Pelodiscus sinensis: one gene and its partner. The protein of the gene in region 2 interacts with the protein of the main gene of each other region in a pairwise test. Links are inferred from orthologs where the notes say so. Each region holds a gene or a part of one and is shown on either strand. Other genes may lie near its edges.

Region 1 (7,394 bases), on a different chromosome or scaffold from region 2:
CCTGAGGCTCCGCCCCTTCTGCCTGAGGCTCCCGTCCCTTCCTGGATTGTGGAGTCAGCCTTCCTACCCCACCTTTCCCAGGGGCCTGCAGGAGCTGTTGGCTCCCCTGTCCAGAGCATCACTTTGCTTAAAGTTAAAATAATTTCCTAAGATCTAACCCACAGCTCCCTGGCTGCAGTTGAACCCGCTTCTTCTTGTCCTGCCTTCAGTGGACGCGGAGAACAACTCATCACCGTTCCCTTTGTATCCACTTTGTACCTATTTGAAGACTGTTCTGAGACCCCTCCGCTGTGTTCTCTTCTCTCAACTATCCCCGCCCGGGTCCCTCGGCCTCTCCTCGACGGTTACATTCTCTTATCGTGTTCGTTGCTTTCCTCTGGACTCTCTCCAATTTGGCCACATCCCTCTGTAGGATCTACAGTTGGGCACGGTCCTCCTCCGGGCCCAGCTGTTACCATTCGTGGGGATCATCAGACTCCTCCCTTTCTTCTCGGCAGCAGCACGGTTTCTGCGATCCGAAGGGGACACGGCCGTGGATGCTTTGGGGGGCTGGCCATTCGAAAACCGGACCTCACAATCCGGGGGGGCGGATGAAATGTCTGGCTGGGCCCGGGACAGCAAGGGTTGGTGCCGTGTCGAACGGCGTTGGATTGTTTTCACGTTACACGGAACGAGACGGCTTTTTGAAAGAGTTGTTTCAAACGGAAAAACTCTGAAACTTTTGCCAGGCTGCCAGGTCCTTCCTGCTCCACCGCTGGAGCAAGAGTGTGTCCCTGAGCTCAGCAGCTCCTATTTATACCGCCCCAGCTGGGTCCTGATTGGCCGCTTGCTCCAGGGTTGGGCTTAACCCTTCTCTCACCGGGAGCAGGGCGGTCGCCTCACTACCCTGCCAAAATCGAACGGAACTTCCAGGGCCCTTCTTATCGTCTCTCGTATCTTAACGTTTTCTCTGAGGTGCTGAGAAAATTATCCCCTGCCTGCAAAACCGCAATGTAGCTTCTCTGCTCCATATCCACCATCTCAGGGGAGTAGCAAAAGGGCTACTGCATCTGCCAGATGGCTACCGGCTCGGCAGAGGTGGTGAGTGAAGGTAGGGCCGGGGAAGGGGTTGGGAACAGCTGCCATATGAGAGCGATTGAAAAGACTAGGACGTTTCAGCTTGGAAAAAAGGAGGCTAAGGGGGTCTCTAAAATCACAACTGGTGTGGAGAAAGTGAATAAGGAAACGTTATTTACTTGTTCCCATCACATCAGAACTAGGGTTCACCAAATGAATTAAACAGGTCGCAGGTTGAAAACGAAAGGAAGGTTTTTCTTCACACGGCGCATAGTCAACCTGTGGAACTCCTTGCCGGTGGATGATTTGAAGGCCAGGATTTTAACAGGTTTCAAAAAAGAACTAAATAAATCCATGCAGGTTAGCCAGGCTGGGCAGGAATGGTGTCTCTAGCCGCTGTTTGTCAGAGGCTGGGAGTGGGCGACGGAGGAGGGATCTGTTCCCTCCCTCTGCGGCACGTGGCATTGGCTGCTGTTGGCAGACAGGACACTGGGCTAGACCGCTCTTTGCTCTGACCCATTATGGCCGTTCTTACGTGAGGGAAAGGGCGGCAGAGCGCGAAGGCTCTGGCAGGCAGAAGAAACGTTTCCCCAGAGGGGAGAGGGGGAGCGATTAGTGAAAAGTCGCGCGGTGCCTACCTGCTGGGTCTGTGAGAGTCCAGCGAGATCCCCGTCCCCGCAAGGTGTCGGCCTGCAGAAACGCAGAGTCACTCCAGCCTCTCTTGCAGCATGCCCTTGGCTCTGTTTCGCACGGCAGGGAAGCCGAGTTGCTCTCTAGCTCTCGTGTTCCCGGGAGGCGTCTGCGTTCAGCAGCAGACTGGCTGCGTCGGGCAGGTGGTGTGAGCAGGCGACGGGGATGAGGCGTGTGTCAGGACCGCTGGGAAATCAGCGAGGAAGAAGTCTCGACCCACAGACGCTTTGCTTCCTCCTCCTCTCCCGTGGCGCTTGGCGCAGTCCCTGCTGCTATTTGTGTCTGGCTGGGGACGAGCCAAGATGAAACGGAGACGGCGAAAGCTTAGATCATGGCTTTCTTTGCAGTGCCAGCCTGCCCCTCCTCACACGGCATGGCAGGACAAGGCCAGCTGCACCAAGGGGGTGGAGGAAGGGCATCTCACTTCTGTTCCCTGCTGCCCACACTGGCTGTTTGGGGCTGGCTTATCTGTGTGGCTGCAGTCGCACTAAAACTAGACACTTCAATACCCCTGGCACTTAAACAGGCTCTTGGTTGAAGAGCTTGCTTGCTGCTTTAGGACCCTCAATATCATTAGCATCCGGTCCTAAGGAATAAGTTCCTAGCCGAGGTTAGCTGAAACACCTCAGTCTTGGTGGATGGTTGCAACATAACAACGTTTATTCTTAGAGTCATGAGCAAGGCCTCCAAACTAGCAGATTTACCCGGCGTCGCACCGGTCCTTAAATGGGTTAAAAACAATTAGATCCATTCACGGAGGCTAGGTCCATCAATGGTCATTCTTGCGTGTGCTTTTCTGCAGTCTGCTAGGTTCGTTGTCGCGGGTTCAATCATTCCAACTGAGCCGATTATAGGACACCTTGCTTTGTTGGTGTTGCTATTGAAATTCAAACACGCACCACTGGTTAAGAATTGCTCAGCCATCAAGATCTTTTACAAAAGGCAGGACAGAGGCCTGAAAGAGCAAAAATCCCTGGACGTCTAATAGGAGTGTTTCTTAGCACTTTCTCAAGAGCCGGTGGAAAGTCAGTGAATTTGCAGCCTTGAACAAAAGTGTTTCATTGATGTTGCTTTGAAGAGACTTCCCTTTTTCCCAGTCTGCGAATGAATGAATTGAAGTACGAATATCGAATATTAAACTGCTATAATATTGTCAGATATAGTCCTGGGAAAACCACGGAACTAGAGGGCAGAACTATTGTGATTAAACCAATTTATATGTGGACAGAGAAGTCGAGAGTAAGTAGACTTGGCAGAACTGGATTTTTCCATATTTTCTTTTACAATTTCAGTGGATAATATCAAGGTTTATTTTTAAGCTTTTTTATTCTTATTTACTTATGTTTTCAGAACTGAGGCGGGATCAGAGACCAAGGGTGTGCGTGTGTCATATTTAAAAAACCAAAAATGATCTGGTAGTACTTTATAGACTAACAAAACATGTAGATGGTATTATGAGCTTTCGTGGGCACAGCCCACTTCTTCAGATGACCAGAGTTTTGAGTTTAGGATGTGCAGACCCAAAAAGGGCTGTGCCTGCGAAAGCTCATGATACCATCTCTGTTTTGTTAGTCTATAAAGTGCTACCAGACCAGTTTTGGTGTTTTAATTGTATCCTGTACAGACTAATTCGGCTACCCCCTGACGCTTCTAATTATTTAAAGACAGCCCAGTCGACGCTGAGATGCAAAAAGTTAAAGCTTTATAACTGTGGAAGCCGAAATTGTCAACCCCACATGTCAAAATGTACCAAGTCAGGAGCTCTCAATCCAACTCTGATAGGATTCCGGGCAGGGATTTTCTTACTTTCCATCTCTGTAAATGTTGCTGAGTATGGACCGAGCTATGTTCTCGCCAGTTGGTGTGGATAAGGTGAAGTCGACGTGTCTCATATTTCCTGGTACTTTCAAGCCTCATTCTAACCCCTCTGTGTTTTTGGGTCAGGGAGGTTGGTGTCTGAGTGGGGCGCTGGCTCCCTCTTGTGTCCTGTGAGTGGAATCTCTCCTCAGTGCTCCCTTTGTTTAGCTAATTTGTTTCGGACATTGTACGTCACTCCGTTTAAACTGTTCCCACCCCCTCCCCGCAATCTCACCCTCTCTGTGCTGAATTTCCCCTGCCATCATGTTACCCAGTTACCTGCATCTTTTACCCTGGAGTCCTGCAATCCGCAGCTGATTTTCTGTGAGAAGAAGCTGTATGTGTGGATTCATGGATGGATCCTGCATCTCTGGATTGTTTGGACTCTCACGGGGAAGTTTACCAGATGTCAAGTGGAGATCTCCAGAGACAATACACGGGGACCCTGGCGTTACAATCTGTGACTCACCTGTGAATGTTTTACCTGCTTTAACCTCTCAACAACTCTTCGCTTGTGCGGCTGCAAGTTCTCTCGTGCTGAGGCAGCGGATCCCACAGTGCTTTGATCTTCCAGGTGTGTCGGGAAAGTGCAGCAAATCCACAGAAGGTGCAAAGACCGTGCATGGAAGTGAAAGCATATTCCCCACTCCCACAAATGGAAAAAAGTTCATTTGATTGCTGAGTCAACACATGGAGGTGAGTGTGCAGAGCCGGGAGGGTGGGGGAACATGGTTTTTATGAGCGACGAAGGTCCTGTGGCACCTTAGGGTGTGTCTAGACTACAGGGTTTTGTCAAGAAAAGTGGACTTTTGTCGACAAAACTAGACCTGCGTCTACACTGCCGCCGAGTTCTGTAAACCTCATTCTTCGAGGAATAGCGTCTTTTGTCGACAGAGTTCTGTCAACAGAAGGCGTTATTGCATCTACACTGTCCCTTGCGTCTACACTGTCATGTCAACAAAAGCCTGTAGTCTTGACGTACCCTTATAGGCTAACAGATGTATTGGAGCATAAGCTTTAGTGTGCGAAGACCCACTTCATCAGATGCATGTAGTGGAATTTACATGACTTGCATCTGACGAAGTGGGTCTTTGCCCACAAAAGCTTATGCTCGTATACATCTGTTAGTCCAGTGGTCCTCAACGTGGTGCCCGCGGGTGCCATGGTGCCCGCTGGGCCATTTCTGTGCGCCCGCCGAGTGATCAGGGCTGGCCCGGGCCCGTGGGCGCTGTCGGCTCCTGGGTGCATGGCGTATGGGCATCCCCGCCCCTGGGCACACGGCACAGGAGAAGCACCAGCCCCGGGCGTGTGGCGTATGGGCAGCCCCACCCCATGGCGTGCGGCACAGGACCGGCGCTGGCCCCGGGACTACGGCGCATGGGTGGCGCCAGCACCTGGCATGCGGTGTATGGGTGGTCCCACCCCCAGACACATGCGTGGCCCTGCCCCCGGGTGCCCGGCAGCCCCGAAAGGCTGGGGACCACTGTGTTAGTCTATAAGTTGCCACAGGACTCCTCGTTGCTTTTGCAGATCCAGACGAACATGGCTACTCCTCTGATGGTGTTTATGAGTATCCCCATGTGGCAATGCCGCGAGAAGAGGGCATCATGCGTGTGTCTGGATATTAAGGCAGCTTTCCAAGGCTCTGGTGTACAGCGGAGGGACAAACGTGTCCCATAGAGGTTTCCCCAGGATCTAAGCCCATAGCCAGGGGATGGGATTTTCATCACAGCTGGGGGGGCTGAGCTGTTCCGAGTTTCGATGGGCTGGACAATGGACAGCATGCCAGGGAATGTGGAAGTGACGAGGAAGCGGAGTTCCCTGCCCTGTGTCAGCTGTCGGCAAGCCACATGTTTTGTGTGCGTCTCGGGGCATGCCAGCGGGCAGACCAGGGAGATCGGCAAAGGAGACGCTTGTCAGGAAGTAAAAGGCCTGGGATCTTTCCTTACAGGGCTTTTTTTTTACCTACCCTGAGGCTGAATGGCTGACAGCAGCCCTCCACTGACCCCTGGTGAGCAGCCAGCGGTGCGTTTCTCCATCCGTTTCCCTTGTTGCCTCCGGCAAGGTTGCGTCATTTTCGCTTGTGCAATTTGCTCTTTGCTGCTGACATGAAACATGAGCACTTGAATCCGTGCCAGGCGTGGGAGCCTACAACCTTAGGGCCGGGAGGGACCGTGGGAGGAGCAGTGAGGCAGGACCAAGGAAACCAAGATGATCCCAGACAGGTATTTGTCCCTCCTGTTCTGAAAACCCTCCTCCGATGGGGATTCCACACGTGGAAACTGGTGCCAGAGCATAGCTAGAAAGTTTCCCCTCAGAGCAAACCTTCATTTTCTTGCCACCAATTAATCCAGCTCCTCGTTGTCCAGAGCAATGGTTCACTGGCCTCTTGCTCACAACCTTTTCCATCGCTGTAGGCAGTTACCGGCTCCCTCCACAGCCGCCTTGTCTCTGGACTGACCTTGTCCTGTTCTTTTGACCTTTCTTCAGAGGCAGGGCTGCAGACCAGGGGAGCGCAAGGGGTACCGTATGTTAGCGAATATACCCCTCGACTTTTTCCGAATTGAGTAAAAAAAATCTTGTATACCTTGCGCACAAGTATAACCCACAGGCTATACAAGACTTTTCTTTCCAACTGTGCCGGGGTATATTAGCTAATTTAGGGTGCCGGGGGAGGGGGTGGGATTAGCCAGCCTAAACGCCCCAGTTCCTGCGCAGCTGCCAGTCTCCGGGTGGGGGAGCACTCATCCCCCAGTTCCTGCGGCTGCGCGGAAACCGGGAGATGAGTGCTCCCCCACCGCTTTCTGCGGCTGCGCGGGAACCAGGGGGATGTGCGCTCCCCCACCCGGAGGCTGGCGGTTGTACCGGAACTCACCAGGTGAGTAAAAAAAAATATTGTATACCCCATGGGGGGGGGGGTGTGTGTGTTGTAAAAACTCATATAACCTGTGGGTTATATACGCTAAAATACAGTAGTTGTCCTGGAGCCTGGTGATTTAAGAGGGTCTGAGCCACACTGCTGCCCCCTTGGCACCAGCGGTAGCCAGAGCCCTTTAAATCGCCGCTGGAGTCCTGTGTGATGTGGTGTGGACCGCACTCAGGGATGGCTAGGGAGGCTAGCTCTAGCCCCGCCCCTTCTGCTCCAGACCCACCCCTTGTTCCCAAGGCCCCGCCCCTTCTGGGAGCACGGAGCGTGCCCCTCCCACACACACATTGCCCAAGGCCTGGTGAAGTCTGTCACGAGCCCTGTTTATAGGCCAGGTTTTCCAGCCTTCTCATCACGTGTGTTGCTCGACTCTGGCCTCTCACGAGTGTGTCTAAACCTTTCCGAAGTGCAAAACACCCCCCCAGGCCCTCTGCTGAATAGAATCATAGAATACTAGGACTGGAAGGGACCTCGAGAGGCATCGAGTCCAGTCCCCTGCCCTCACGGCAGGACCAAATACTGTCTAGCCCATCCCTGAGAGACATTTATCTAACCTGCTCTTAAATATCTCCAGAGATGGGGATTCCACAACCTCCCTGGGCAATTGATTCCAGTGTTTGACCACCCTGACAGGTAGGAACTTTTTCCTAATGTCCAACCTAAACCTCCCTTGCTGCAGTTTAAGCCCATTGCTTCTTGTTCTATCCTCAGAGGCCAAGATGAACAAGTTTTCTCCCTCCTCCTTGTGACACCCTTTTAGATACCTGAAAGCTGCTATCATGTCCCCCCTCAGTCTTCTCTTTTCTAAACTAAACAAGCCCAATTCTTTCAGCCTTCCTCCATAGGTCATGTTCTCTAGACCCTT
Region 2 (7,964 bases):
CGCTACTCCAGCATACAAAGGCTTCCTAAGAAAGCCAGGCCTTGATTTCGGTCACACAAGTGGCCTTCCGTGGTGGATTAACTAACTGCTCAGAGCTGTCAGAGAGGGAGCCGGGTTAAGGAGTGAGTTGCAATTCAAGCTTCTGCCATGATAAAATTGTGAGTTTTGAAGGTGTCGGCAGACTCCTTGTTGTTTTTAATGCTGAGAGATACAGATAAAATTACAGCATTTCAGCTGCAAGCGAAGCACCATCGAAATGCAACAGTAACTACACGGTTCTATTCTTGGTGGAGGAGGGAAGTTTTTACTGACACTGATGGAGGGAAGGGAGTGAAAAGAGGGAAGTGCAAAAGGCAGGAGAAATAAACAAATTGAGTAAAGAAATGCACCATGATAGCGCCGTCCACGGAGCTCAAAAGTCTTTTGTGAGCATTAAACAAATCATCTGACAGAGTCAGTATTGTGAGCCAGGCACAGTACAAGTGCCTAGATTAGGCTTTGTCTACACTAGCAGAGCCCTACACGGATACAAAACTTGTGCTCACATCTGCAAAAATGGTCCAGGGATATCTGCAACCCCCTCTGCGGGTGTGGAGTGGCTATAAAGTGGCTATCTGCAAATTTGCACCATTCTAGAGAAAAAAAATTGTATCCGCAACCATATCCATAAAAACGCGCCACGGATGTCTGCAGCCACAGGTGCGGATGCCCACGAATACAAATTGCAGGGCTCTATACACTTTTGCTGGCAATTTTTTAATCTGTCAGGGTGTGAAAAAAAACCCCACACCCCAACTGCCATAAGTTTTGCTGCCAAAAGTGCCGGTGTGGACAGTGCTATGTTGGTGGGAAAGCTCATTCTGCCAACATAGCTACAACCGCACCTTGAGGGTCGTTTAATTGGAGTGGCTGAAGAGCTCTCTCCTATCAACATACAATGGCTACATAGGAAGCTGTACAGCAGCACAGCTGCGCCGCAAGAGGGTACCTAGCCTAGACCGGGTCAAACTCAGCTTCAAGTCAGTGAGTGCAATTCCCCTTATGATACAAACTTCATGGTGGATTACTAGAGCCAGAAAACGGATGCAAAGTGGTGAAAGTTGCGCTGACTGGGCATTCAGTGATTGTGCAAAGTGAGTGAGATTTGCACACTCTGAGCTGCAAAAAGGAGGGTACGGCTCGCAAAAAGCAACTAGCAGGACTGTGTAAGAAATCAGACAATGACAGCGGTGCCTGTTTTACAGCTTCCTGAAAGGGCTCATGAAAATCAGTTTGGAATATGATAGGATGTATTTAAAGACATTCCCGAATAATTCCCCATGTGAATTCTCTTATTCTGGACTAAGACTATCCACACGTGGAGTTAACCAGGAGCCACGTCCTGCGTATACGTGCCCTCGCGGCTGCCGGTTGGTGTGTAAAAAACACAGTCCGAGTGGCAGATTTGTGCCATTTTGACCAATTCACCCAGCCTGCAGATCGCAGCAGCCATATGCACCAGTGACTCGTGGTAGCATCCCAGTGCCCTCCACCAAAATTCTCACTGCTAAATGGGGTGCCCCCTCCCTGCACCCCTCTCACCTCAAGCACTAGCTGCCTATAGCTATCCCAGCAAGGGGCCAGTTCTAAGCCTGCCCAGTTGAACCCCCAGTGCCCGGTTTTCACCAGACCAGGGGGTGTTTACCTGGTGGCACAATCTCTAGATTACAGAAAAATCAACTCCTCCCCCCCCCACCACCACGCACATTACACAGCGCAAGCCAGACCCCCGTGGACCCAGGGGAGAAGCGCCCAGGTTACTCCCACAGCAGCCCAGTTACAGCCCCCCCCCGTCTTTAATGTGCCCCCTCCCCGGCTAGGGCGCTGCGGCAGCTAAAGATCAACAGACAAGCTTGCTGGGGGGGGGGGGCGCCAGACACTCCCGGGGGGGCAGGGAAGAGTCGGGGAGCAGACACTCCCGGGGGGGGGGCAGGGAAGAGCCGGGGGGCAGACACTCCCGGGGGGGGCAGGGAAGAGCCGGGGGGCAGACACTCCCGGGGGGGGCAGGGAAGAGCCGGGGGGCAGACACTACTGAGGGCAGGGAAGAGCCAGGGGGCAAACACTCCCCGGGGGGAAGATACTCCGGGGGGCACGGAAGAGCCGGGGGGGGGGCAGGGAAGAGCCGGGGGGCAGACACTCCCGGGGGTCAGGGAAGAGCCGGGGGGGGCAGGGAAGAGCCGGGGGGCAGACACTCCCCGGGGGGAAGATACTCCGGGGGGCACGGAAGAGCCGGGGGGGGGCAGGGAAGAGCCGTGGGGCAGACACTCCCGGGGGTCAGGGAAGAGCCGGGGGGAGCAGGGAAGAGCCCGGGGGGGGGGGCTCACGCCAGCCTGCCCACCGGGAGCAGCATCACTTACCGGGCCAGGCGAGCAGGCCGAGGAGCAGCAGGCAGGTGAGCCCCCGGGCCGGGGCGCGGGCGCGGCGGGCGCCGGGCTCCATGGCGGGCGGCTGGCGGGGACAGAAAGGAGGAAGAGTCGCATGAAGGGGCCGGCTCCGCTCGGGCTCAGGGCCGCCCCCCGGAGGAGGAGGAGGAGGAGGCGTCGCGCCCCCCACCTGGGCAGCCGGCTCGGGGGACCGGGCGTCGCTCGCCGGCCCGCCCGCTGCAGCCCGGCCCCTGCGGCGGGTGTGTGGCCGCGGCGCGGGCTCCCGCTCCGGTTCCTGGCGCTGGCAGCCCCCCCGGTTGCCTAGCACGGAGGAGGCGGCTTCCAGGCACGTACCCGGGCGCAGGAACAGCCCCCCCGGGCCGCCCCGATTTAAGGTCGCTCGCCGGGCGGGTGCAGCCCCGGGCCGGGCTCCACACCCCCCTGCTGCGCTACGGTCATCCCGGAGCAGCCCCGCGTTGCCGGCTTAAGGTGGGCCGGGCGAGTTCCCTCCCCCGCGCCTGGCAGCTGCTTCTGGGGAGGGCGCGGAGCGAACCGCGTGCCCCCGGCGTCGCCCTTTGGCTTTGCCCGCTGCTGTCACTTCCTCCGCCAGGGGAGCCCTGGTCTGCCCCGAGCCTGGGGAAAGGCTGAGGAAGGAGGGCGGGAAGCAGAGGGAGTGAGGGGATGGGCTTCCCAGTGGTTAGAGCTCCAGTCTGCAACTTGGTAGACGGGGGGCGCGAGTCCCTGTCGTACCACAGCTTCCCTGCGTGCCTCGATTCCCCCTCCGTGCACTGGGGGTGGCAGCCCTGCCCTGCCCCTCAGGAGGACAAGCAGGTGGAATCACATTCTTGAGGAAGGGGCTCAGAGATGTCAGTGGGCAGCATGGAAGTGCTGTGGGGCAGGGCCTGGCTTGTTCTGTGTCTGTGCAGCACCTATCACAATGTATCCAAGGGGTAGCTCAATGTATCCAAGGGGTAGCTCAATGTATCCAAGGGGTAGCCTTGTTAGTCTAAATCTGCAAAAGCCATGAGAAATCCTGTGGCACTTTATAGATTAACAGATTTATTGGCACATAAGCTTTCGTGGGCAAAGACCCACTTGTCAGATGCATGTAGTGGAAATTCCAGAGGCAAGTATAAATACACAGGCATAAGAAAAGAGTAGGATCAAGAGTAAGGCTGGAGATAACGAGGTCAATTCAGTCAGGGAAGATAAGGCCCACTTTTTTAGCTGCTGATGTGGAGGTGTGGAAAACCAAGAGAGGAGAAACTGCTTTTGTAGTTGGCTAGCCTTTCACAGTCTTTGTTTAATCCTAAATGGATGGTATCAAATTTGCAGATGAACTGTAGCTCAGCAGTTTCTCTTTTAAGTCTGTTCTTGAAGTTTTTTTGTTGCAGGATGGCTACTTTTAAATCTGCTACTGTGTGTCCAGGGAGATTGAAGTGTTCCCCTACAGGTTTTTGTATATTGCCATTCCTAATATCTGATTTGTGTCCATTTATTCTTTTACGTAGCGACTGTCCAGTTTGGCTAATGTATATAGCAGAGGGGCATTGCTGGCACATGATGGCATAGATCACATTGGTAGATGTGCAGGTAAATGAACACTTGATGGTGTGGCTGATCTGATTAGCTCCTGTGATGGTGTCGCTGGTGTAGATATGTGGGCAGAGTTGGCACCGAGGTTTGTTGCAGGGATTCATTCCTGAGTTAGAGTTACTGTGGTGTGCTGTATAGTTGCTGGTGAGAATTTGCTTTAGGTTGGCAGGTTGTCTGTGGGCGAGGACTGGCCTGCCTCCCAAAGCCTGTGAAAGTGAGGGATCATTGTCCAGGATGGGTTGTAGATCACTGATGATGCATTGGAGAGGTTTTAGCTGAGGACTGTAGGTGATGGCCAGTGGTGTTCTGTTTGTTTCTTTGTTGGGCTTGTCTTGTAGTAGGCGGCCTCTGGGTACACATCTCGGCTCTGTTAATCTGTTTCCTCACTTCCTCAGTCAGGTATTGTAGTTTCAAGAATTCTTGGTGAAGATCTTGTAGGTGTTTGTCTCTGTCTGAGGGATTGGAGCAAATGCAATTGTACCTTAGTGCTTGGCTGTAGTAGACAATGGATCGTGTGGTGTGTCCGGGATGGAAGCTGGAGGCATGGAGGTAGGCATAGAGGTCAGTAGGTTTTCGTTGTAGGGTGGTCTTTATGTGACCATCATTTATTTGCACCGTAGTGTCCAGGAAGTGGCTCTCTTGTGTAGATTAAACAAAGGATTAAACAAAGAGGATGTGTCTAGACTAGTCAGTTTTTCCGGAAAATCAGCCGCTTTTCCGGAAAAACTTGCCAGCTGTCTACACTGGCCACTTGAATTTCCGCAAAAGCACTGACTTCCTACTGTAAGAAATCAGTGCTTCTTGCGGAAATAGTATTCTGCTCCCGTTCAGGCAAAGCTTTTGCACAAAAGGGCCAGTGTAGACAGCTCAGATTTGTTTCCGCAAAAAAGCCCCGATCGCGAAAATGGTGCTTTTGCCGCAAAAGTGTTTTTGCCGAAAAGTGTCCTTGCCAATCTAGACGCTCTGTTCCGAAAATGCTTTTAACGGAAAACTTTTCCATTAAAAGCATTTCCAGAAGATCATGCCAATCTAGGCGCAGCCAGACTGTGAAAGGCTAGCCAACTACAAAAGAAGTTTCTCCTCTCTTGGTTTTCACACCTCCACATCAGCGGCTAGAAGTGGGCCTCATCCTCCCTGACTGAATTGACCTCGTTATCTCTAGCCTAACTCTTGATTGCTACTCTTTTCTTATGCCTGTATATATATATACCTGCCTCTGGAATTTCCACTAGATGCATCTGATGAAGTGGGTCTTTGCCCATGAAAGCTTATGCACCAGTAAACCTGTTAGTCGATAAGGTGCCACAGGACTCCTCGTCGCTAGCACAATGGTGTCCTGCCCGGACGGGGACGCTCAGGTGCTACCATAATACACATTTAATAGTCAGTTATTAGAAGTGGTTGGCACTGCCTTAGCGAGAAGGGTAGGAAGATGTGGGGGGCTGGGAACAAATGGGGTGAGAATGGAGGAGTTGTGGTGGAGGGAGGGGGAGTCTCTTTGCAGCCTACTGGAGAGAGCCCCCCGCCACCGGCAGCCTCTTGTTAAATTCTGAGGGGAGAGGAAGAATCCCTGCCCCGATGGCGCTGACCCCACTCTCAGACACACCCACCCGCAGCAGACAAATCCCCGGCACCCCATCCTTCCCCCCCGGTGATAGGTCTCCATCTCCCCTCAGACACCTCCAGCCACACTGCCCGCCCCTCTGACGCCTCTGGAGCTAAGCGGGAACCCTTCCAGCCAGGGCATTCAGAGGCGTTTGGTTGCCAAGTGGTACCAGGTCCCTCCCTGGTGTGGCGATGAGAAGAGCTTTGTGTGAGAGGGAACGATGAACAGCTTCCCAGCTGAGCACCCTGCGACGTGCCGTTTGTCACAGGCCGGCGAGGAACATTGCCCACCAAGGGAACAAAAGCCCCAGGTGGCGAGGGAGAGAAGGGGGGAGGAAGATGGAGGCGCTGGGCGGGTGAAAAGCGGCGGAAGAACAGGGCAGAGGAAGAAAGGGAAGGGAGAAGGCAGAGTCTGGTTTGCTCTTCTCACCGTGCAGTGTGTTTCAGGGTATGTCTACACTGCCATAAAAACCCATGGGGATGAGTCCCAGCGGCTAGGTCAGCTGATTCAGGCTCGGGCTATGGGGCTAAACATAGTGTGGACATGTGGCTCTTAGCCCCACCCGCTTTGGGGTGTCAGACCCTGAATATCTACACTGCAGTGTCATAGCCCTGCTGTCCCAGCCTGGAGAGCCCAAATCAGCTGACCTGGGCCAATGGCAGCCACATCACGGGGCTTTTCTTGCAGTGTCACCACACCCCCAGTGATGCGTGTCCTGCGGGATTCCAGGCCCACAAGCATGGCATTGCTATGCTACCGCGCTTCCGAGAGACCCTCCGGAGTGGAGGGAGGCAAACAGTCTCCACTGTTCAGATCTTGGCTTTCTCTCTGCACTTGGAAAACAAGGGGCCAGTTGTGGCCTGGGCGTGCCTACCTGGAAATGAGCAATGATTAACTCCTTTAACAATGGGCATACCATCTACAGACATGTTTTTGTTAGTCTATAAAGTGCTACCAGACCATTTGTTGCTTTTTTCTGTAACAGATTAACTCGGCTACCCCCTGAAGTTCCTTTAACAATGGTTAGCTGCAGTGTTTCCTCCTTTTCCACCCCAACTTCTTAAAGTTTTCCCAGCTACAGGCTAACTCGGCTCCCCCTCCGAAGCTTTTTTCCACTCATGTGCAGAATACATTTTGTGATGTGCACTGAGGCATGGGCAGATGTGCACCACCATTAGAAGGACACGCTGCTGGCTGCGTGCAGCTGTGCGTGCTCTGCTAATTAGCAGGGTGGCATTGGAATGTCCCCCGGGTGGCTGCCCAAGCACTTATAAGGAACACTGGTCACAGTTGTCATTTGCGACCGATTTGGGTCAGAACAGATGGCGATGTAAGGCTGTGTCTGCCCAGCAGGCCCTGCAGGAATTCACTGCTGTACCTGAACCTATCCAGCAAGCAATATGAATGCACAGCACAGCAGTCATAGGGAATCAAAGCTGGGGAGAGGCAAATATTTGGGGGAGTCTTTGCAGCTGTCTTAGCTGCTTGTCTGAAAAAAAATCCTTGATTAGGGCCAGAGAGACCAAATATTCTTATGCTCACACTGAACACAAATCCCAGCTAGCGACTGTCCCATGCTAGATTTCAGCTAGAGAGTGGCTGCAGACCTTGCTCCATGAGTGCTGTCTAGATCAAGACTAATTCCAAAGTTCTGGAGAAGTTTGCTGTAATTCTTCCAAGAGCCTGGCTTGCAGCCTCCCTCCGCCCCCATTAACCGTAACACTCCCCCTTGGGAGGATGAGAGAGTGCCGCATTTACTCTCTTGATTAGTATCGAGCTGTAAACAAAAAACAAAGCGGTCTCAAGTGATTTGGAACCCCCCAAGCCATGCATATTATGACTTCATGTTCTTACCACCGCAACCCCTCTCTCTGGCCTGTTGTTTGCTACACCCACGGGTTGCATCTGGTCTGAATTTAATTTGCATGCTCTTGAAAATAGGGAACATGTTTTCCGGTGCCTGTGCAGCCCCGTGAAACTCTTCACACCTGATTAATGACTGGGTGCTACCTTAATTATACAAATATGTGTGATCAGTGTTATTCCAGCGGAACCAATCGCTGTCCTAGGTGAAAAGAAACTTGCTCCCACTGTTTTTTATCTCCCCTTTCTGGCAAGTGTGCGCATTGGAAACATGTCCACATTTATGCTCCATTTGAGGCTTTTTGTAAGGGGAGTGGGGAGTGGTCTCTGCTTAAAAGAATTCCTTGTACAGAGATGGGCATGTGGGATCCCACGGAAAGCTGGGTTTGAACTCCTAAAATTGATCCTCCTATAGAAGCATTAGTCAGCCTCGTCCCTAGATTTTGATTCATTGACCTCCACCCCCCACCCCCCCATCCCGAGAACTGAATTCTGGA

What was found.
Region 1: the proteins of tyrosine-protein phosphatase non-receptor type substrate 1-like (region 2) and NOL3 interact in a two-hybrid assay, tested with the Homo sapiens proteins (2 studies listed by BioGRID and IntAct). The two-hybrid records come from large-scale screens. The link is inferred for Pelodiscus sinensis from reciprocal best matches to the Homo sapiens genes SIRPA and NOL3.

What each region holds. Positions count from the first base shown.
Region 1 is NC_134714.1:133,327,614-133,335,007, reverse strand, and holds the start of NOL3 (nucleolar protein 3), read right to left. Parts: upstream 3,080-7,394; 5' UTR 1,695-3,079; intron 1-1,694.
Region 2 is NC_134728.1:2,956,822-2,964,785, reverse strand, and holds the start of tyrosine-protein phosphatase non-receptor type substrate 1-like, read right to left. Parts: upstream 3,034-7,964; 5' UTR 2,593-3,033; intron 2,488-2,592; 5' UTR 2,479-2,487; coding exon 2,397-2,478; intron 1-2,396. UniProt on the Homo sapiens protein: Immunoglobulin-like cell surface receptor for CD47. Acts as docking protein and induces translocation of PTPN6, PTPN11 and other binding partners from the cytosol to the plasma membrane.